Neodiprion lecontei: one gene and its partners. The protein of the gene in region 3 binds, or shares a complex with, the protein of the main gene of each other region. Links are inferred from orthologs where the notes say so. Each region holds a gene or a part of one and is shown on either strand. Other genes may lie near its edges.

Region 1 (6,428 bases), on a different chromosome or scaffold from region 3:
GCATTCTGCCCCTCGAGTAGTTGAAGCTGCTGTTTTTCCAGTTTTTTTTGCTTCGCACGTTCTCTTGCTCTTCGTGCTTTTGCACGTTCTTTATCCTGTAGCATTCGTGCTAATTCTGCATCCTGAGCTTCCATCGCTATCTTCTGGTCAATTAGCAGCTGTTCATCTATCATAGAACCTTCACCCTCTGCCGTAGCTTCTTCTTCTTCCAGTTGTAACTTTCTTGCTAATTCCTATTCAGCATAGCATAATGATAACGTAGATAAGTAAAATTACCATAGACATCTTTGAATAACTCAGTTTTATGTGATTTTTATATTATTCCAGTATCATACAGCACATGTGGGAAACTACCTCTACATCAATTAGTATTGAACAAATATGTACGTGAAATTCTTGTTTCTTTATATTACCTGATCTTTTTCTTCTTGAATCCGCTTTTGCATCTCCAATTCAGCTTCTAGCTGCGCAGTTTCATCGTCGAGTCTGAGCTGCCGTCTCATTTGCTCTTGCAACATTCTTTCTTTCTTCCGTTCCTCACGTTCTAAATTTAAAGCAATTTGCTTTGCAACAAGTGCATCTTTCTCTTCCCTGTTGGATAATTCTTCATCAATTCTTCGGTTACAATGTTTCATTTTGACAAAAAAAATACCATGTTTATGAAAAAATAAACTTGAAAAACAGTAAATCAATTTTATGTGCAATTAAGTTTAAAGTTTTGTTTGCACAACACATTTTTGCACATCAATAATATAAGTATAGAACTATTTGAAAGTCGATCATGAATCCATATGTTTTCAATTTAAAAATAGTTTCACTAACTGTTGTTGGATAATGCATTGATATCTAAGGGCTTCAAGTTCTTGTTCAACTTTGGCCTTAGGTAAATCCTCGCGTACTTGTGCATTGCGAACCTTGTTTCCTGTGTAGTGTTCTTTAACTGTAAACAACAAAGGAGATGAGAGCCATTGTTGGTTATCGTTTACGTATCACAGTAAATTTCACGCAATTATTACCGTGGTTGAGACTGTAATAATATTGGTCATGACGAAAAAAACTTACTCTCCTCGTCCTGTAGTCTGTATGCCAATGCTCCATCTTCGTGTACCAGCCACTCCCGACAAACTGTAACCGTCGGAATTAACATTAACTCGAGAGGAATTAGCCGCAATTACGGCGCGTCTTGAAAAGTGACAAGAGAAAGCTTGAAGACTCTGGATATATTCAACTAACCTTCGTTTACTCTTCCTGCCTTAGGAAGGGTATCTGAACTCAATACAGACTTGGCCATATTTTTGGTTTTGATTATTCCTTGCGCGTTTTCTTAACTCTGCTCACAAACAATTTTCGTAGACAACTTTTCTTATTTACATCACCTTATGGGATCGCTTTGTTGTTCGCACCATCTTGAATATGCATTGTATACTACAGTCTGTAATCACTGTTCACACGTTTGTAGATACAACTACAAGCGTCATTTCACATTCGAGAATGGATAGTAGTGTTTACGGAAGGTTAGGTATAGTATGGTATAGTGCGTGAAGAAGCTATTGAAAATGTTTAATACAGCGACAGCGACAAGTCAGACACACCGATTGGCTGGCAGACTCATGGAAAAAATAAAACGTCAGATTAGCCAATTACATAGCTGTGGTTTTAATGCAAATCGAAGTATGACACTTTGCAATTTTTACAAATGAAGTTGGTCGCAAGGCCCTTACACTCAACATTTATGTATCAAGTAGTCAGACTTCAAGCTCACTTTCCTCACTTTCGAGACACTGGTGGCGTGTGTAAGATATAACCCTAAAACTAGGTACCCTTAACCTCAAAAGTGCATAGAAAGTTTCGTCACGTTTTTATTGACGACATTCGTGGAAAAAATGAGCACCGACACGAGTATTGAGCCTGGTCACAAATCTCGTAATGATTCCGAACCACAGGATGAATCCGCAAATGCTCAGGGTGTGGAGGTCATCGAAATCCTACCAGGGTTCACAAATTTTGATGATTTCGTTAATGTGAGTGTCACAGCTTCTAATCTCACTATACGTATTTAAAACAACTAAAACATAATGATTTATGTTGGTCAATTTTCTCATTTAATCGTCTATGCTGATCGTAATCAAATTATTTTTCCAGGTTGGATTTGAAGCACTAAAAACCGGCATAAAGGCCGCCAACGGCTTACCCAGTGGTGAAAAATATGACTACTACAAATGTTTTCCAACCTTTCGTAATATCATTAATGAGGAGATCAACAACGTTTTGGTCTGTATGCAAAACATTACAGAAGGTGTGGGAGTGAGAGGCAATATCAGACGGCGTGACATAGAAGAGAAGTTTGAGCTTTTGATTGAAGCTAATGATATTTTATTAGAGCGAGCAGTAAGTTGGCAACATCAGAAGAAAACCATTTACCTTTGGTTAAGGAAAGTAACAGAATTTAATTTATTTTTAGGGAATATGTATGGATGAGGCCTCAGGAATTCTGCGAAACCCAGATGTCGAATTTGTTGTATCGCAAAGTAACTCGACAGCTGTAAGCGGCAGCTGGAACAATCTGTCCTTCCATTCAAAAACTCAGCAAACTCAACCGGCAAATAAGGCTCAAGCGATTTGTTTACTGACGGCAAAGAATATCCAGCGACCGCAGTTGAAGTTTGAAGATAAAATTGATAACAGCATTAAACCTTGGCAACCTAGAATAAAGGATAAACCAAACTCATTGAAGCCACTCGCTCTGTATGTCGAAGAAGATGAAGATGGAGAATTTTTCAGCCATCCATACGAATTTGAACTTGATAGGTTTGAAGCACCTGAGCATCAACTGGAGTCTCGTGTTCCTGTTGAATATAAACATATAGACGACACTTCTTTAATCGTGATTGAAAAACCTGAAGATATAAAAATACTATTGGATGATTTGAGTAAATACACTGAGATTGCAGTTGACTTGGAGCATCATTCTTATAGATCATTCCAAGGCATAACATGTCTAATGCAAATATCAACCAAAGATACGGACTATCTTGTCGACACATTATCACTTAGATCTGAGCTGCACCAGCTTAATGAGATATTTACGAAACCGTCCATTCTTAAGGTATTTCACGGCGCTGGCAGTGACATCGAGTGGCTGCAAAGAGATTTGTCTTTGTACATTGTAAATATGTTTGATACTCATATTGCGGCCAAACAGCTTAATTTGCCATACCTAAGTTTGGCACATCTTATGAAGCGGTACTGTGATATTGATCCGAACAAACATTTCCAACTGGCCGATTGGCGAGTCAGGCCTCTACCTGAGGAGCTGATGAAATATGCAAGGGAAGATACTCACTACTTGTTGTATATTAAAGATAATCTTATGAATGCATTGCTGGAACAGGCCAATGGCCAAAGCAATATCTTGAAGGCAGTGTATGATCGAAGTACAGACGTATGCAAAAAGATATACAGAAAACCAGTCTGGTCGGAGGAAAAGTGTATGAATCTGTATCGAAAGAGCAAGAAAATGTTCAACAATAGGCAATTGTACGCTCTTAGAGAACTGCATAAGTGGCGAGATGCTACTGGCAGGGCAGAGGACGACAGTACTGGTTACGTTCTACCAAATCACATGCTGTTGAATATCGCTGAGAGTTTACCCCGTGAAATGCAGGGAATTCTGGCATGTTGTAACCCCATACCCCCTCTGGTCAGACAAAACGCATTATCGCTTCATAAAATAATCTTGAAAGCAAAGGAACAACCAATGATCAAACCTATCCTAGAAGATGATATCCGACAACGTATGACGCAGCGAAATCAAGTTACAGATTTAGAAACTACACTTCTATATTCACCTCATGATATGCCACATGATATGGAGATCAGAGCCGATTTACCTTGTTTGTTGGACCTAAACAGCTCTTCAGAAATTAATGTTACCGAACACACGATTCCTCATACTGTCACTGTATTTGACAGCCCCCCACAATCGGAGGTTTGATAACAAAAAGTGTACTTTAAGGGAGAATCTTACCCTGCGAAACTTGAAATAGCAAATGATTTCACAATAATTGCAAAAATCTAATTAATTCAGCTCTAGAATTCAATTGACTCAGATTAGGATTCTCCTATTAATTAATTTGATCAATTCATTTTCATCACTTAATTTTCTCAAGTACGTCTTTGAGGACATTTTTTTGCTTGTTTTTTTATTAGGATGAAAACACTGCGGGGCACATTACGAGAAAAAAAAGACGAACGCCATTCATCAGTCCTTTTGAACGGTATAAGCGTGTATTACCCATGGTAGCTGCAGAAGAGGCAAAAGAAAGAGAGAGACAAGAAAAAGAAGAAGCTGAAAGAATAAAATTGGTAGAAAATAGTGAAAACGAAATAGCAGAGAGTAAAAACAGAGTTTATAAACACTTCAAAGATGTGGTTGGAGCAGTTACTAATCCAATCAGCGTACAGCAATCCGCTGGTAGCAGTTCGAATCAGTCTATTGATTCTAAACAGTTCGGGCCTGACCACAAAACTTTGAGCCAGATGCAGGGAAGAAAACGTAAACGACAATCTAATTATCATGATGATACTAAACTGACAGAGTCGCAAGATGATTTATCGACACCGCTACCTTTCCTGCATAAAAAATTCACTCAAAATTATAGACGAGATAAACGAGAGTTGAATTCACCCACACAGGGTGTAAAGAAACAAAAGAAATCATACCACGATACAGGGCACAGTTCTTTCACTGAAGATACGGAACTTTCTGCAAATAATGAATTGTCTGTCAAATCACTCAGGTAATACTTCTACAATTGCGAAAAAACTATTTAGTGAATTTCTTCATTCATTTTGTATTGTGCCATTATATACACGCTTTACGATTCCAGCTTACTTCAGACTTGGAAAACTGTAAAACCGATTCTTATTTATTAGACCCAGAAAGTTTTTCCTGGTGCTACAATTTTTTCATGCTATCATCTATAGATAATATCGTACTTTTTGAACAAATAACAGAGAATTTTTTAAGTAACCTTGTAAAATAAGTAAATAATCCACCAAGCATTGTAATGATCAATTAGAAAGATGGTTTGTAAGAATAATATAATTTCGTGTATTTTTCAGAAACAATAAGAAGAAGAGTAAACAGGAAAATAAGAGAAATATGAAAGAGAAAGGTATTCTACCTAGAGAATCATTTGATTACAAAAATGTCGATTTCAGTAGTTTTCAAGGAGGCAGCCGCGCGCACAATCAGATTCCTTTCCAAGCTCAGAACAAGGTGAGTTGGCAAATTCGTATGGGTACAGCACTAAATTACTATCTATTGTTGTACAATTGATCGAATTCTTTTAATTGCGAGTGGAAAAGGTAGAAGCCCACAGCACGAATTTATGTTTACTCAACGAATTCCACTTGAATTTCAGAAAAAGAATGCACGAGGAAATCGAGGGAAAGGAAATAGAGGTAATAAGAAGCAAAAATGGAACTGCTAACCCCGTGGGTTGGTAAAAATTAAAATATGGTCCGAAAAAGGGTCACTTCTGTAAACTGAAGTAAATGATATATCGGGAATATTGGATGAAATTGAAAGCTTACACTACGTGAGAATTCAATCCTACTGTGATGGGACGGGATACGGAATAATCGTGATTAGCGCGAGTGATTACTTTCATAAAATATTCCGTGAATTAGACGTCGCATACCACAGCATATAGAACCATTCATCTTATTTGAATTTCTTTTTCTTTTACGTTTCATTCTTAAATACAAGTATCCATGTACCAATTATTGATATTATTGGTAAGATTGTCTAACTTTCAAACTGTTCAGAATGGTTTTAAAACAATAAAACGTTTCAAATATGAACATCAATCGTTTACATTTCTTACAGTGAAAACTGTGTATTAATGTCCCACATTATAAACTAATAAACTAGATGGTGGGTTTGGATACAAAACATTCTTTCATTATGATTCATTTCATCAGTCGTGAATAGTAATTAAGGTATTTGCTTGTTTTTCCCTAAATTAGGTCTACTCTTTTGATGAAATGTCAATTTGTGCATGGTATTAGCCTGGAAACTAGACAAACTAAAAGTTGAGTCATTTCCAGTGGTATTATGACAACATTCACGTGGATAGTGTATCACATCATAGCTTTCCGTCTTATCTGCATATTTCCTTCTAGATAAACAAAATATCAATCGTGGTCAGTGCGTCAAGAGCAACACTGACCTTAACATGAGTGCGTTTAGCATAATTATCTTCGGTATTGTGTCATATATGCTGTTTATTAACAACAATTGCAGTGCTACAATTATCAGTTCAGTACAAATTAAAAACGGTAGCTTAGTAAGATCTCATTGGCATGGAATTAGTAGTCTTACTCGTGAACGATTCAATATTTCTGGTATTATTTCGTCAGAG
Region 2 (4,380 bases), on a different chromosome or scaffold from region 3:
GCAACTTACATGGCGATGGGTTCTTTTCTGCCAATCGTCATGCTCTGTGGGATCATTTGGCCAGTCGAGGGGATGAATCCGGTCCTCAGATACATCAGCTTTATCTTGCCGTTGACGAAGAGCACAGAGTCGATCAGGGCAATGCTCGGTAAAGGATGGCCCATATCTCAGCCAGCCGTTTACGACGGTTTCATCTCCACGTTCCTGTGGATAATAATATTCCTCACATTATCGATATTGCTGATTAAGTTCAAGAAGGGTTAATTATGTAGGTAAATCAATTGGCGATCCTCCTCATCGCACCCCATCCTCATTGTACTTTGTTTAACTAGCGCTCATCTACAAGCGACGAAACTATCAAGGCGTTTATTTAAATCATGCAAATTGTTATTTCTATGGTAGAACCTAGCTTATCCGACATTCGATTATCCAAGGTTCCGCATTATCCAAGAGGCCCATCTCATCCGAGCACTCTGCATTCACCAATGTGTATATCTTCGGATAATACGGAGAACCTTGGATGAAACTGAACAATCCACTGTGCCTTATGTGTATGAAATAGTTTTGTGTCGCATCTTTATTTGAATACGGATAAACTTGTAAAAGTTTCTTGCGATTTGTGACATTGCGAGCAATAATCGCTGCAGTTCCGATTCTGGAAGCTAGGGTAAAACATCGTAATGGCATGGATTGTACATGTTTTCCGTATTATCAGAAATTTCACGCATCCGAGTTATGCTCTCCCCATATTACCTCGGATAAACCAGGTTCTATTGTATTTCTATCTTCTTTTTTCACATCAACTTCGATTTGCTATTATTTAATTTTTCTTCGCAACAGCATCGATAATGCGATTTAAAAGATATTTTCGACCGATCAATTATTGTATAAATTATGTGATTTACTGATATAGCGGATTATTTATAGGGTATCACGTATCTACAGTCGATTCAATAAGTTTTATGTATACACATATCCATTTTTGTTTGATACGTATAAAAAAAAGTATTCAACGCATCTCAAAGTGACGATGTTGTTCCAACGTGTGTGAATAATATAGTATGTAATTCAACAAAAAAAATTGTACATTGAAACGCAATTGAATAGATATTACTATACCTATTATGTGTACTTGTGAGCTATGTGGACTCCTGGAATCGAGCTTATATTTTGTATAATATAACAATGTGTAATAAAGAAGGTAATTAATTATATAATCATAATAATGCGTTTGAAAATATGTATCTGAGATACTAATGTAACCCACTGTATACATTTTTTCAAACAATTACTTCTATGATCATGTCATTACTTGTTTATACAGGTGACTTTCTTTTAGTTCAATTCAATAGTTTGTGTAGTCTGTGACTTTTAAGTTATAAGTAGAAATATGTTAATTAATATGTACATTTGATAATTACGTAATGTTGTAGCATTGCAGCGAATAAACTGTCATAAATGTTATGTGTCAATTATGCGACTTGCTGTTAGTATTCAACAGGTTTTCCGCGTATGGTGGAGTAAAACTTTCAGTGCAAGCACCATAAATTTTAAACAACAGAAGAACATCGAGCGGTCTGAAGTAATGTACGAAACCTTTTCAAATTAACGCGGACTTCCGGTTATACAAACTGGCGGGAGAGCAATTTAAAAAATTTTAATCACTAATTATTTTTAACAATCGCAACGAAACTCGATCAAATTTGATCAACGATTTCTTGGAATCGGTTCACATCTTGCGAGATTTATAAATTGGAATAATTTTCTATTGTTAGAATTTCGAACATTGATGACGGAAACTTATTAATTTGTAGAAATGAAGGAGGCGGCACTTTTGAATTGTTCATTATTTTCAACCTTTACAATTTTAACATTGTCATCCAGGTATTAAGAGCTAATTACTTAACCCCTTTTCCGCGGTATTCCGAGACTTGACTGAAGTCAGTCAACGTTCCAAATGATTGGTGCGACGATGATTTACATGGATTTACATTTAAATCATATCGATCAATTGATCATTTGCGATTTCGAGGCTGACAAAATTCTGTTTACAATCCAACCAATCCAACCAATCCAACTACAATATGACAACCCAACCTAACCTAATTTCAAACGTGCTCCACATGTTGTCACCGTTGTCGCAATTTGAAAAATAATAATAAACTTACATAGATTCAAAACTGAAATGGACGAAAGAAATGAGCCAATAGTGTGTGTTCCAGGTAAGGATGAATGAATTACGAAATCGATAAACATTTCCCAAGTTTTCTACGCAGAAATGTCCCAAATGAATTGGCCCGTCCTATCCTCAATTACGTTTTGTTTGTATGCAAATTAAAGGTGGTTAAGACTCATGATAAATTTTTATTGCAATCCAGGTCAGAGGCTCTGTTTGTCGGACAAAGTAAATGTTCCAGGACCGGGAACTTACGAGCAGCACGGATATATTTATTCAAAATTAGCAGGAGTGGTGAACTTGGTTAAAGATGAACACGTACGATAAGTTTTAAGATATTTCACGGTCGCTTGCCTTCAGATTAAACATCATTTCTCACTTTCTATTATCAATAGAAGAGCACAGTTGAGGTGCACGGCATAAGAGAACAAAGCATTGTCCCAGCTCCCGGAGACATTGTAACAGCCGAGGTAATGGTCGTTAATCAAAGGTTTTGCAAATGCGTTATAAAATGCATTGGGGATGTGGTTTTGACCAGACCTTACAGAGGCATTTTAAGAAAAGAAGACGTCAGGGCTACGGAAAAAGATAAGACTGAAATGTACAAATCTTTTAAACCAGGAGATATTATTCTGGCTAGAGTTGTATCCTTTTTCTTTGAAAATTTTTTTCTACCGTTCGTTATCAATACCGCAGTTTCATAGTTGGCTACTTTTCCCATGCAAAATTTAGTTACCTCTCACCGAAGTCCATACTTATCAACTTTCCACTGCCGAGAATGAATTGGGAGTCGTTATCGCCCACAGCGAAGAGGGTAAGCAGAATTATTTTTTTATAGCGGTAGAAAAATGTCAAAGAATATATACGCTATAAAATATTCAATAGCTCTCAGCTCTCAGTTTGAAGATATGTAAAACAAAAAATCAGCACAATACAGGTTTTCATCTTTGTGTCATAACCATTTACACTTCATTTATCAAAATGAAATCGTTTGGAAAAATTACCGCCTTAGACTCGAAATGGAAGTTTTATTGTACTTTTTAGGGTGAATTGAGATTAGTTGCTGTGAAAACAAAATATCACTATTTGGAAATTATGGATTTTGTTGAGTAAAGGGTTAATGTAGAAAATTCCTCGTTTTTTTTTTTATACAGGTGTATCTATGGTGCCTGTAAGTTGGACGGAAATGCAGTGCCCAGAGACCCTAAACAAAGAATTGCGCAAAGTAGCTAAAGTTGTACCGGAGCATATCGTTAATGAAAAATAAAATAAATGTAAATTGCATTCATAAACGGACTATTCATTTTGCCAATGTGCCACAATGAATAGCATAGTTGGATGATTGTGTAAACTGGGTTAAACATATAGAATCAATATTGTCTCAATTTCTATTGAAATGCTTATAAGGAACACTAATTTTTGTTGGAATGTCAAGTACTTTATATTTATATATATACATATATAAATACGTACTCATATATTTGGAGTAATTTTTTATGTACATACATTGTAGACAGCTTTTGCCTGTCGAGTTGCAATAATACTACAAATTACTTATCGTACATTAGAGAAAAAAAATTACACTTCACTAGGTCATTCACAAGGTCAATCTCAAACTTTACTCCTCAATCCATTGAGTAATTCAATTCTTTTGTTATTGCACATAAAATGCAGAGTTCACAGAAAAAATATCCTGGAAGACTCACTTGCTGCAATTTTTTTCCTCCCATAATTCAGTCTTGTTGTGTATTGCAATTTACAAAATCCACAAAGAATGACCTTCGTTTCTTTGTGTTAGATCCCCAACACGTTTAATTTTCGTTTATTCTTTTCAGTGACAGTCAACTCAAAATACTCTCAAGCATTCTGTAACGATACTAACATGTTCGATTTCTTTTCCCAACAAGGATACACTGATAAATCAAACCTGGCTACTATTTGAATGTGGTGAAAAAGACCAGTGAAATGCGATGGAAAGAGTTTCAGGCGAGAGAAATATCTATAATATATTTACAAATAATAGCATAAAATCTAATTATAAACGGAATAATTGGGCTGCACCGAATTGATTTACTTTACAGCCGCGTACAATGGTTTTCACAAATTTTTGAAAACTTCCAATGCGAGTGTGCTAATTGAAAAGAGTGTGAAATCGTATATACGATATTGTTTGTGAAGTTGCCATTTCGATTATCTGAAGCAAG
Region 3 (7,729 bases):
GCGGATGTAAAATATTTTGCTGCGTATATCTTACAGGAGGCTAGTATCTCGAAGGTTTTTCAATTTTTCAAGCATCATAGATCACTGCTTGGCGATAGTTGAGAAAGAAAGTTTTAGTTTCCTTTTTCGCTAAATTTTTATCCAATATTTAAACAAAGAATCGAATCGTTTGTCCATTGCAGTTTTCTCTGCTTCATTCAGTATTTTGAAAAATTTCCATTACTGTACGTGTTTGAAACATGTAAAGAGGATCTCAAAGGATAGCGGTGTTATTGCAGTGCTTCGATAACTTAACTAGGGGTTTAATTCCATCAACTGATAGAAGATGAAGTTAGTATATTGCGTAACGGGGAGTCAAACTCAGGTCTTTTCGGGCCAACCTCAAGTTTGCAATACGAGTTGTAGGTGAGTCGAAAATGAAAACATGCTCGCGTTATATAAATACATTCAAATATGTGCCATTCTTTATTTTGTGACACCATAATCGTTTCGTACTTAATTAGAAATTCATACTTCTGAACGTTTTTGAAATAACAGTGTGATATTTTCTCAGATTCATGTTCAAATATAGTATAACGAGAATACCTATTACGAGAATAATATGAGAAAATATTTTATTGCTTGAGATATATTCCCTTGAATCAAGAAAAGCTGGTGTGCATACAACTTACAGGTATTACCGCACGAAGTCTCAATTAATTACCATATGCGATACAAAAATTGAAATAACTGTGTAATGTATATAAATGAATAGATAATACGTGTAAATATAATATAAATAGGCATTTTGGAATATATAATAAAATGATATATAATTTCTTCGATAAGGTCTCATTGATTCATCATGTCGCAGTTATTGTTCGGTAAAAAACCTAGTATGATAATTGGACTTCGTTTTTCAACGAAATGAAAATAACGAGAGATTTATATAATTTTTCAGCTAGTTCCATTGACTAATTGCGGCGTGTACAATGTTCGAAGAGTGAAACATACGAAAAAGATGCGTAACCGAAATATTTTACTAGTAAACTATTCATCACTAACCTTTTAAAATCAAGCAAGTACTCAAAAATGCATCCAGGCAGCCATCACTCTATTTGGTCCTCAAAAACTGAAGGCGTTTGGAAGAATTCGATTATCACCAGCACTTGATTTCACCACAGCACAACACACTACTGTAGAAAACACCTTCGGGGCAATCTCATCTTTTCCCAGTAGAAAGTTTACGACGACGATTGCATCGTAATTTCGCGATTATCGTCGGGAAGCTCACAGCATCACTCGTTCGAAAAAAACATCAACGTACTATTCGAAAAAAGTCGAGAGAAACAAGTGAGCGCGGATAAGTTCGTAACTGAAAGAAAACACCTAAAATATTCACTGAGCACCACTTCTCAGTATCCTCAACTTATCCTACGTATCGTGATAATTATCACTGTTATCAACCACACGGGGTACCAATATTTCACGGGATTGAATTCTAAATTTCAGACGTATACCGGAATTCGACGAGAAACGACTCAATCGAATGTCGCGCGACAAATGAACGTCGCGTAACGACGGTAACAACTGAACGTCGGTCGGTCGCGTGATGGTGACACGTGACTCAGGAACAGGTCACCTGATCAAAACAAAGCAGCTGAGTGAGCTTCGTCGATCAGAAAATAAATCTCAATGAACGTAAAAGATGAATGAAAACCACTCTGTGTGCTGAATCATTTATTCTGACCACCTTACAGCTTACGCTACACAATAAAATGATAATAAATCTCTTATGGCGTCAATGATGAGCGAGAAACTTGAAAATTTCGTATTTATTTTCAATTTTCTTCCTCACGCATTTTTATCTGGGTTTAAATTTATCCGAAAAGATAATTGTGAATATACGGAGAGCTATACCCGCATCGTGCTAATTCCGTCTTCGTTGTGGTCAGAGAGGTTATGTGACATATGAGTCGTCGGCTGACGCTCACGTTAAGCGAAGCAAGAGTTTTAACTTATTTTCAAAATGTTGACTACGAAAACATTTTTCAGAAAAACAAAGAGGGGAAATATTCTCAAGGTTTGTTTAATCCGCAGTAAACGATAAGCGGTGTCATATATTGTGATTACGAATTTCTTGTGGTTATGTTATCTAATTGCACTTTTTACACAGATTGTCAGAGAGCATTACCTCAGGGATGATATATGGTGTGGGTCAAATCTGTGCTCAATATGTAAACACAAAAGCAAGGATTTAGTCCTTGATGAAGACCCTGAGTCGAGAAGTTCTTTATACCCTCAGGGACACTATCTTGTTCTGGATACCAACGTAGTTCTCGACCAGGTAATCGAGCTTTGAGTATCGGTCTTTAAAGAACTTTCAAGCAATTGAATAAGTAGCAAAATCTCAGTGGGTTTTTTTATTTTTTCAGATTGATGTTCTCGAAGAAGATGCTCTATGCAACGTCATAATTTTGCAAACTGTGCTTGAAGAGGTACGGCACAGAAGTTCCAATGTGTACAAAAAACTGAGAGACATTATTGGCGATCCTAAGCGAAAGTTTTACGTCTTCGTTAATGAGCATCATAAGTGAGAATCTTTGACTCTCTAACAAAAAAAAAATATGCCACAGGAAAGTTGTTTCACTTTTTCTCCCGAATATTTCAGGGATACCTATATTGAACGAGAACCACGTGAGAACGTAAATGATCGCAATGATAGAGCTATCAGAGTCGCTGCAGCTTGGTACCAGAATCACGTGAATGCGAGCAAAGGTGCTCGTAAAGAGAAGCAAAAGGTTGACGTTGTTTTGCTTACAGACGATGCCGCGAATCGAGATAAAGCGATCGGTGAAGGCATCAATGCTGCGTCGAGTAAGTATACTTGCACTATTGAAGTCATCGTTAGAATTAAGTATAATAAGGTCATTAGAATTCCCAACGAATAAAAACTGGAAATTATTCTTTCAGTGCAAGATTATGTTGCATCGTTAATTGACGCTGGGTTCTTACAAGACAAGCTGTGTAAGCGGAACTATGTTCTCGAAGGAGAAAGCAAGACACCGCTGTTTCCACCACACTTGACGCCTGCTCAAATTCACGACGGTATAAAGAGCAGGAAATTGCTACAAGGAACGTTCCTTGCTTCAAGGGAGAATTTTTTGGAAGGAAGTGTAAATGTCGAAGGATACGAAAAATTTGTGAGCTTTGTTTTAAAGTACTTGGACTGTGATTTGTCTGTTTACAATTGGTATCTTCTAAATTTCAAGCAATGGCCTTCGTCTTTGATCACAGATATTGTTGCAAGGAAAACTCGCACTGAATAGAGCAGTCGACGGGGATATCGTCGCTATAGAGCTACTGCCCGAAGATCAGTGGAGTGTACCCTCGGATTTAGTTATTCAAGACGAAGAAGAAGATCCTAGTGATTTGCTGGAAGATGAAACCGAGTTGAAGGCTATAAAAGTTCCGAAAAACATTCAGAGAACGCCTACCGGGGTTGTAGTAGGCATAATTAGACGGAAATGGCGACAATACTGCGGTATTCTGCAGCCCAGTCTTGTGAAAGGGGTGAGTTTGCTGCTAGTTAAATGATTGCAATTGATTTTATCTTACCACATATGTGTAAATACAGTATAAATCTGCTACATCTTGCACAAATTATCAATGCTGAGTCCGGCATTCAAATTTTAATATTTTTTCCGTACCAGAGTAAAAATATTCCAATGTTTGATTTTTGCAGAACGTGAGGCACATGTTCGTTCCGGCAGAGCGAAAAATCCCGCGAGTAAGGATCGAAACTCGTCAATCTGAGAATCTGAGCAAGCAGCGGATCATAGTCGCGATAGACTCTTGGCCCCGCAACTCTAGATACCCTTTGGGCCACTTTGTCAGAGCACTTGGTAACATTGGCGACAAAGAAACAGAGAACGAAGTCCTCCTCCTTGAGCACGACATTCCTCACAACAGATTCTCAGACGCGGTTCTCAGTTTTCTTCCAAAATTACCCTGGCTGATAACCGAGGCGGTGAGTACTGATTTTTTATTTTATTTAAACGACAGGCAAGCGTGAGTCCTTTCTCCATTATATCTTCTTCCATTTATTTTCTCTACTCTCATTCCATTTTCACCAAGTTCCAAGAATTCACGGAAACACCGCTTGTCATTGATTTTTTCTCAGGATGTATAATTCAATTTCTCGCATGTCGTCCGACGCGTTCTCGGCATCCTCAGCGTTGCCTAAGGTACTATCGGAAGTAGGAAGGGTTGCGGCTGATCGAAGTTCTCCAAAAAGAGCCTGCGAACAGAAATGAAACGTCGGCGGATTCCAGGGTTTACCGGAGCCCCTTAAATTCCAGTTCACGTGACGGAGGAATAATTCCAAAATCTAATTCGTAGTAAACGAACTTGCAAAACCGTTCGCATTTCGTTATGGAACTCGAAGCTCAGCCCGCCAGCTCCGTTATTGTCCACGTTATTATTCAGCAGAGTAACTTCGTGTACTTCGTTTCTGGCGGCAGTGCTCGGCCCGCTAATTGAAGATAAAATGTCGTGATTCGAACTGCTCGCGGCTCCCAACAGTGTCGCCGGGTATAAATTGGAAGCCAAAGTGCACCTCGGTAGTTCACCGATGGTCAGGGGTACCAAGGACAGGTCCTCGACGTTCCCGGCAACGACGCATCTTCTCTCCAGATTCTCATCCCGCCTCTCGAGTCTATTGAATTTCAAATCTTACCATCAACCTCGTGGTGGAAATTGTCTGGATTCTTACCGGCGACGTCTTTGGATCGACAAACGTTGCGCGTGCGATCTCTTCGGCAGGTGTTGCGCCACGAATGGTGCCACAGGACCCGGTGCGGAAAGCGGTGGTGGCAGCGGCGGAGGCGGAGGTGGAGGCCTCGATGGGGGTGGAGGCGGCGCGCAAAAGGAGGGAAATGGAAGTGGAATAATTGACTTCTCTTTTGGACGTTTATCAGCCTCGTTAACACCACTCAGGGGGTGAAAAGCTTGCGTCTGGTTAAGTTTTCGCGTTACCAGGACGCTCAGGTTCTCCAACGCGTGCTGTTTATTCTGGTGACAAAGGGAACGTTTTTTTTAGACCCTCATGTCCCCCCCGATTCACATGCTCATTATAGAGGTGGCGGAAATTTCTTTCGTTTACTTTTACGTCCGTCAGTATTCCCTCCAATATTTCTGGTTTCTGGCTATTCTTCACACTTTCCCAACGCGAAAACATCGGCTTATCGTACAGCGCTATAGTACATTCCATTTCCCGTATCTCTGTACCAGATTCAATTATTTCAAAAGCCTTTGATTATGTCGCATCAATAGATCAACCGATTGGAGCATAACGGAGTTTTTACTTTCTCTCGGTTATATTTCAACTAACCGTCATCCCGCAATCTTTTCAAGATCTTCGTCACTGTGATTTTTTCTTTCCTAACCGATTTTCTTTGCGCCTTTAGCTTTTCCACGTTAGCCACAGCCTCTTTAACTTCCGCAAGTATGCTTTGCAGCTCGCTCACGCTGCTCTCCAACCGATTTCTTAGAATGCTGAAACGATGTATAAGAGCTGAATAAAGAACGGCTCGTATGAGAATGAGAATAAAAATATGCGACGATGATATATAATTAACGCTCACTTGGGGTATTCGTAAGTAAGGAAATTCAGATCTCTGACGCTCAAAATGTACTTGATAAATTTGTCCAATTGATTGCAGAAGGGAAAGACGTCTGTCAGTGAAACATTGCGGTCCACGTCGAGGCTGGACCGACTTTCGCCATTCGATTGATCGTCCATAGTGACATTCGTTTTATTTCTGGAATCCAATCCCACGCTTATTACAATTCGGGTCTATTTAGCGACAGGTGCATTTATTTTTACCTAGGAACCGGGATTGACCTTATAAACTCCCAGAAATATTGAGAATGCGTGTTTTTCATTGGAATCGTTATAGAGTTGCTCCATATCTCGCGAAATGTAACGGCGTTCCCAATCTTGAATTAACAGTCCATTTTGTATGCTGTGAAACTGTGCGGCCGTCGTCTATTGCCTGAATTACTGAGCTAGGAATGATAATTTTTAGTTCAATACTTTGGCGTGAGTAAGAATTTTGCCATTACTGGCAAAACAAGAGAGCGGGAAGCGTGTCAAATGTTGGTCCAAAGCCTACTGACAATTAGCAACTCGACTGACGCCTCGTTCCCCGATTTTTGTCCCTCAGGACGTTACCCAACGCGTCGATCTGCGGCACATAGACGTTTGCTCGGTCGACCCACCGGGTTGTACGGACATCGACGATGCCCTGCATTGTCGGGAATTGGAAAATGGGAACCTTGAGGTCGGGGTCCACATCGCGGACGTTTCTCACTTCATTCGTCCTGGAACCGCGCTGGACAAGGAAGCCGCGTCACGTGGCACCACCGTCTACCTCGTCGACAAGAGGATCGACATGGTTCCGGGTAAGGGGATTGCGCAATCGTTTGCAACACGCTTCCTTTGTTCGTTAATTCTCTGCCGTTATTGATTTTATTACCTCCCTCTTATCTCCCGCAGAACTACTCAGCTCGAATCTCTGCTCTCTTCGTGGTAACGAGGAGAGATTCGCGTTTTCGTGCGTATGGGAAATGGACGAAAAGGCTAATATAATAGACACGAAATTTCACAAGAGTATTATCCGATCTCGACAAGCCATGACTTACGAGGAGGCTCAGCTCAAGATTGACGACGAAACGCAGCAAGATTCCATTGCCAAGTCGCTGAGGGGCCTGAATAGTTTGGCTAAAAAATTGAAGGCGAAACGTTTTGAGAACGGGTAAATTTTACTCATAACTCGCATAATTATTTTATTTCATAAAATCATTGATATCCAAATAATACGGAAATTATCATTGCAGAGCGTTGGTTTTGGCCTCACCGGAAATCCGGTTTGAGGTAGACAGCGAGACCCACGACCCCATAGACGTTCAGGCGAAGAAGCTTAGGGAGACTAACTCGATGGTCGAAGAATTTATGTTGCTTGCCAATACTTCCGTGGCAAAAAAAATTGTTCAAGATTTTCCGGAGTGCTCAATGCTCAGACGACATCCGGAGCCGCCTCAGGCAAACTTTGATCCACTCGTGAAGGCTGGAAGGAACCGGGTTCGTTGTGGAAAAAAAAGAGAAAAAAAATCGGGGTTATCTTGCCGTTTTTAATTTTTGATTTTCCGATCCATTTTACTGAATTTTTTAGGGCTTCGTCATAAATACTGCGTCCGGCAAGGAGCTCGCAACTTCTTTGAACGAGGCTCACACCGAGGATAACCCGTATTTCAATACGATGCTCAGGATACTGGCGACTCGGTGCATGATGCAGGCTGTTTATTTCACCAGCGGAATGTTGCAGCCTGAAGAATACTTTCATTATGGTCTTGCGTGTCCGATTTACACGCATTTCACATCGCCAATAAGAAGGTGAATGCAAATAAAAATCCGGTGAAGCGAAACCCCGCATTTTATTTATTGTATTCTGTTTGTACCGGGACGTTGACTTTTTTCGAATCAATATACCGCTGCTCATGGTCAGTTGAACAAATTCCAATAACTTGGAAATCTTCTCGCCTCCGAAACATGGCATTTGAATCAATCGTTCACCCGTAATATCCGAATATCTCGATTTTCGGCACTCCAGGTACGCAGATATTATGGTTCACCGTCTCCTCGCCGTGTGCATAGGTGCCGATGCGACCTATCCCAACTTACTTGACA
Region 4 (3,754 bases), on a different chromosome or scaffold from region 3:
GAGAGGCGCCGCTTTAGAGCTTGCGTAATATCTGCTTGCATTAATAACTGCAAACGACGGTGAGATAGACGTTGAATTGAGCGATTATTTAATATAGGGCTATTTTTAATTTATGTACTGCGACAAACTCGTGGCTGCTACCAATTCTCAAAAACCGTGCGGGTCGTGAAAGACAAATAAACGATATAAACTCCCCTGAAACTATGCAGAATCTATTTAAACAGAGATATAAACGGAAAGTCGTCAATGTCAATTAAACAGGTGCGTTTTGTAAGACTATTTATTCAAGACGTTTTCACATCTATAAATATATTTCGAGTTTTCATCTTCTTTTATCTGTAGGTTTCTATTATAAATCATAGACAAGATATACTTGTACGTCATATACGTTGTACATGCATATTGCAGGACTGATTGTTAACCAAAACGAAGCCACGATATTGGTGTCTTCTATAAGCCTATTAACATTTTTGCTGCCCAACACAGAACAATGGAACTATTTCAACGACATATTTGACGCGAGTGTTGACGGAAGTATGCAGACGGTTACCGCTGAAAAAAAAACATTTCCAGACCATTACTCAGCGGGTAAGTGGGCCTAGAGCCATAAGAATCCGTGTTAGCGATCCTTTTTTACCTGCGGGAGCTGTTTAACACTCAATCTCGTTAGATACACAAAACCCAGTTAGGGCAACCGTCTTTGACAGTCTTCAGTCATCGCCGTGGGTTTCGTTGCAGACTTTGAATTGGCGGTTATTGCACCCTACTACTCCCTGACGTTTATTTAGGGTATTCTAAGGCACCATGGGCGAAACATGACAACGTGAAATTCCCTAGAAATCTTGGACTACGTCAAAGCAACCGAGTAAACATCAAACAACATACACCGAGATGTTTATGCAACGTAAATTCATCGATAACGTACAGCGTAATATAACGCTAATCAAAAAGCATTACAATTAAAAAAGGATACAAAATACACAAGCAGAAAAAGCACAGCGCCGGTGTCGAATAGAGCAAACGCGAACAACAGCGGCTCGGAAACCATGATTTCTACACGTAATTCAGCTGTCAATAAGTTCTCAGATTAGAACTAAATTATATCGGGAACAAGTTTGATTCGGTAAGCGTAACACCAAAGAATTAAATCTTTGTTTTTACAGAAAAGGTGTGGGTAAATCTATAAACTACCGACTGTCGTGGGACTGTCAAAGCCTCGTCAAGCACACTTCACGCCTCTTGCCACCAAGCATACCACTTGGCCGAGAAGAAAATGCCCTAGAATCGCAGAAAACCTTCGAGGCCGCATTGGAAAGCGACTACCGTACTGTCAGTGGATTGCGTACATTTTTCAAGGCACAACCATAGACTTATAAAGGGCACAACACCTCACATCCACTTTGGCTCTAAAGGGTGTGTTTCGAAGTTAGCTCCCAGTGCTGTCAATCATCTCTTATCTCTTTTGCGCTGCCGAGTTCGTGGGTAAATCTGCGTCTGTTCAAGGGATTTCTAGCGCTTCAAACTAATTACTAGCGAATTTAAACATGCTGATCATGCCTAAGCACAAATTTGTGCGCTTAATTTGAACACTGAATAATATTATTTACATGAACCTGATTAACTTTCCGTGCGCGTTCGGAGGGCGAAGTGGGCGAACGCTAGTCGATAATCTTATATCTTAGTAATTTGACAGTGCTGCCGGTACACGAACGCGTTTGGTAAGTGTTTCGTGGGTGTCGTTGGGCTTTCCATCTTCGTTTATTCCGATGATTCATGTTACCAACAAAACATATCTTTACTTACCGTCGAACACCTAGCTCACTTTAGTTATTAGTGTAGCCATGGTATAGCAGGAAAGATTATGGTCAAAGCCGTCAAAGCCTCACGAAAGCGTGGTTGAAAGGCCGAGACAAATTAGGTTGGGCAAGATCGACAACAAACGGGTACACCACGCGATTCTACAATCGACTAATTGTAAAAGGAAAGTGATACTGAAAGTATACAAAGTAAATTTCGCAATGTCTGGCCAAGACTTAGTGTCGGACCAAGGACTAAGAGTCGATGGACGACGAGCAAATGAGTTGAGACAGATTCGAGTTCGAATGGGTGTCTTCGGGCAGTCGGATGGGAGTGCTTACCTAGAACAGGGCAACACAAAAGTTTTGGCTGCAGTGTACGGGCCCCATCAGGTTATTTCCTATAACGTATTTCAGTTGTTCACATCCATAATTCTCTTAACTTGCTCATTGACAATAACAATTGTTTGCTACAGCCAAGAGGAGGGGGGCGTGGTGGGAACAGAAGTGGCACGGGAATTATAAATTGCCAGTACAGTATGGCTGTGTTCAGTTTTAGTGCCGGTGAGCGCAAGAAACGACCACGCGGTGATCGCAAGACCCAAGAAACGTCTCTGCAGCTACGCAGGGCTATCGAAGCTATTGTACAAGTAGAACTGTACCCTCGCTCTCAAATCGACGTGTTTGTCGAAGTCCTTCAGTCCGACGGCAGTGATTATTGCGCAGCAGTAAACGCAGCGACTCTCGCTCTAATCGACGCTGGTATTCCCATTAAGGTACTTCTAATAATAACTTCTTACGCACTGTGCTTTTACTGATTTCTACTATAAAAATAATGAAATTTGATATGCTTTACTTACAGGATTACTCTGTAGGATGCACAGCAACGATAGCCAGCATGGGAGCTTCGGAAGAAGTTGACAGTAAGGATGAAACAGGATCTGGAACAGGAATAGTTGATGCAAATCATATGGAGGAATGTACAGGAGCGACGACATTAACTGTCGTTGCTTTACCAGGAGCCCCTGGCTCTAATTATGAGTCAGATACCGACAATTCCGGTTTAGTAGTCGTGGCGCAAGGAACTGGTGCACGACTCCATCTCTCCAGGCTCGAAGGGCTCAGGCAACGGGCGTTGCAGGGCTGTCGGGATACAAGGGTGATTCTTGATCAAGCAGTTAGATTCCATTTAACGACACATGATCCTCATTTTATTTAGTACTATGTTTAATTCATCCCCATATTTGTTTTACTTATATATGTGTGTATGTGTCGTCAGCTATGCATATGAAATGAACTAATGAAAATTTGAAATGGATCATGATTTATTGTACTATTTCATTACGCTTTTTTTTTCCTTTTTTCAAGGTGTAATAAATCTTAAAAAATATATACATGTACACATTTATATAACAGATATCTCCGACTGTAAAAATATAAATTCGTTCTTTCAGCCTAGTTTTGAAAGGGTTCGTACTCTTTTGCATTTATAAAACGTTTAATGCAGTGTATCGTATTTACGAATAGAAGATTAGAATAGTTTATTCTGCAGTTCCGTTAAAGTTTGGCATCTGGGTGTCTCTCCAGTATCATTCCAACTCCCTGTAAATAAAGATAAATGGTTCATCCGTCATTGATTACTGCAGCGCATGCCAGGCTTGAGGATCCAAGAATTAAAATTTGTGTATAATAAAATAAGAAATCATTGCTGACCTGACCACCAGCAGCGCAGGCAGCAATTAGCCCGAATTGTTGATCCTCTCTGATCATGCGGTTTGCTGTGTGAGTTGCTAATCTAACTCCAGTAGCGGCGAAGGGATGTCCGATAGACAGAGAACCACCCCAAGCATTCCACTTGTTGATATCTGGCACACCAATTTTACCTGATCTACCCATATATTTCTGTGCAAACCAATCAGAATCCATGGCTTTCAAGTTTGCTAGAATTTGTGCAGCAA

The links.
Region 1: exosome complex exonuclease RRP44 (region 3) and exosome component 10 share a complex: the UniProt entries of both Caenorhabditis elegans proteins name them as parts of the RNA exosome complex. The link is inferred for Neodiprion lecontei from reciprocal best matches to the Caenorhabditis elegans genes dis-3 and crn-3.
Region 2: exosome complex exonuclease RRP44 (region 3) and exosome complex component CSL4 share a complex: the UniProt entries of both Caenorhabditis elegans proteins name them as parts of the RNA exosome complex. The link is inferred for Neodiprion lecontei from reciprocal best matches to the Caenorhabditis elegans genes dis-3 and exos-1.
Region 4: exosome complex exonuclease RRP44 (region 3) and exosome complex component RRP41 share a complex: the UniProt entries of both Caenorhabditis elegans proteins name them as parts of the RNA exosome complex. The link is inferred for Neodiprion lecontei from reciprocal best matches to the Caenorhabditis elegans genes dis-3 and exos-4.1.

Annotation. Positions count from the first base shown.
Region 1 is NC_060263.1:36,947,478-36,953,905, forward strand, and holds exosome component 10, read left to right. Parts: upstream 1-1,703; 5' UTR 1,704-1,883; coding exon 1,884-2,021; intron 2,022-2,142; coding exon 2,143-2,388; intron 2,389-2,461; coding exon 2,462-3,988; intron 3,989-4,209; coding exon 4,210-4,799; intron 4,800-5,124; coding exon 5,125-5,281; intron 5,282-5,426; coding exon 5,427-5,495; 3' UTR 5,496-5,874; downstream 5,875-6,428. Other genes in the region: coiled-coil domain-containing protein 50, read right to left, coding at 1-233, 414-591, 823-940, 1,063-1,125, 1,234-1,291; pancreatic triacylglycerol lipase, read left to right, coding at 6,243-6,428. UniProt on the Caenorhabditis elegans protein: Catalytic component of the RNA exosome complex which has 3'->5' exoribonuclease activity and participates in a multitude of cellular RNA processing and degradation events. Involved in apoptotic DNA degradation.
Region 2 is NC_060263.1:20,669,486-20,673,865, reverse strand, and holds exosome complex component CSL4, read left to right. Parts: upstream 1-2,085; 5' UTR 2,086-2,185; coding exon 2,186-2,222; exon of another isoform or gene 2,223-2,378; coding exon 2,379-2,494; exon of another isoform or gene 2,495-2,571; coding exon 2,572-2,820; exon of another isoform or gene 2,821-2,908; coding exon 2,909-2,990; exon of another isoform or gene 2,991-3,330; coding exon 3,331-3,443; 3' UTR 3,444-3,851; downstream 3,852-4,380. Other genes in the region: ABC transporter G family member 20, read left to right, coding at 1-264. UniProt on the Caenorhabditis elegans protein: Non-catalytic component of the RNA exosome complex which has 3'->5' exoribonuclease activity and participates in a multitude of cellular RNA processing and degradation events. Involved in regulation of antisense ribosomal siRNA production.
Region 3 is NC_060266.1:26,348,238-26,355,966, forward strand, and holds the start of exosome complex exonuclease RRP44, read left to right. Parts: upstream 1-1,671; 5' UTR 1,672-2,008; coding exon 2,009-2,062; intron 2,063-2,155; coding exon 2,156-2,326; intron 2,327-2,414; coding exon 2,415-2,572; intron 2,573-2,650; coding exon 2,651-2,856; intron 2,857-2,952; coding exon 2,953-3,182; intron 3,183-3,276; coding exon 3,277-3,552; intron 3,553-3,724; coding exon 3,725-4,009; exon of another isoform or gene 4,010-4,144; coding exon of another isoform or gene 4,145-4,279; intron 4,280-4,389; coding exon of another isoform or gene 4,390-4,696; intron 4,697-4,753; coding exon of another isoform or gene 4,754-5,052; intron 5,053-5,143; coding exon of another isoform or gene 5,144-5,262; intron 5,263-5,371; coding exon of another isoform or gene 5,372-5,535; intron 5,536-5,624; coding exon of another isoform or gene 5,625-5,801; intron 5,802-5,866; coding exon of another isoform or gene 5,867-5,925; exon of another isoform or gene 5,926-6,206; coding exon 6,207-6,444; intron 6,445-6,538; coding exon 6,539-6,797; intron 6,798-6,879; coding exon 6,880-7,123; intron 7,124-7,214; coding exon 7,215-7,435; intron 7,436-7,652; coding exon 7,653-7,729. Other genes in the region: arp2/3 complex-activating protein rickA-like, read right to left, coding at 4,145-4,279, 4,390-4,696, 4,754-5,052, 5,144-5,262, 5,372-5,535, 5,625-5,801, 5,867-5,925. UniProt on the Caenorhabditis elegans protein: Putative catalytic component of the RNA exosome complex which has 3'->5' exoribonuclease activity and participates in a multitude of cellular RNA processing and degradation events. Has both 3'-5' exonuclease and endonuclease activities.
Region 4 is NC_060262.1:41,627,764-41,631,517, forward strand, and holds exosome complex component RRP41, read left to right. Parts: upstream 1-1,742; 5' UTR 1,743-2,018; coding exon 2,019-2,189; intron 2,190-2,272; coding exon 2,273-2,572; intron 2,573-2,658; coding exon 2,659-3,015; 3' UTR 3,016-3,170; downstream 3,171-3,754. Other genes in the region: protein cornichon homolog 4, read right to left, coding at 974-1,048; trifunctional enzyme subunit beta, mitochondrial, read right to left, coding at 3,354-3,398, 3,510-3,754. UniProt on the Caenorhabditis elegans protein: Non-catalytic component of the RNA exosome complex which has 3'->5' exoribonuclease activity and participates in a multitude of cellular RNA processing and degradation events.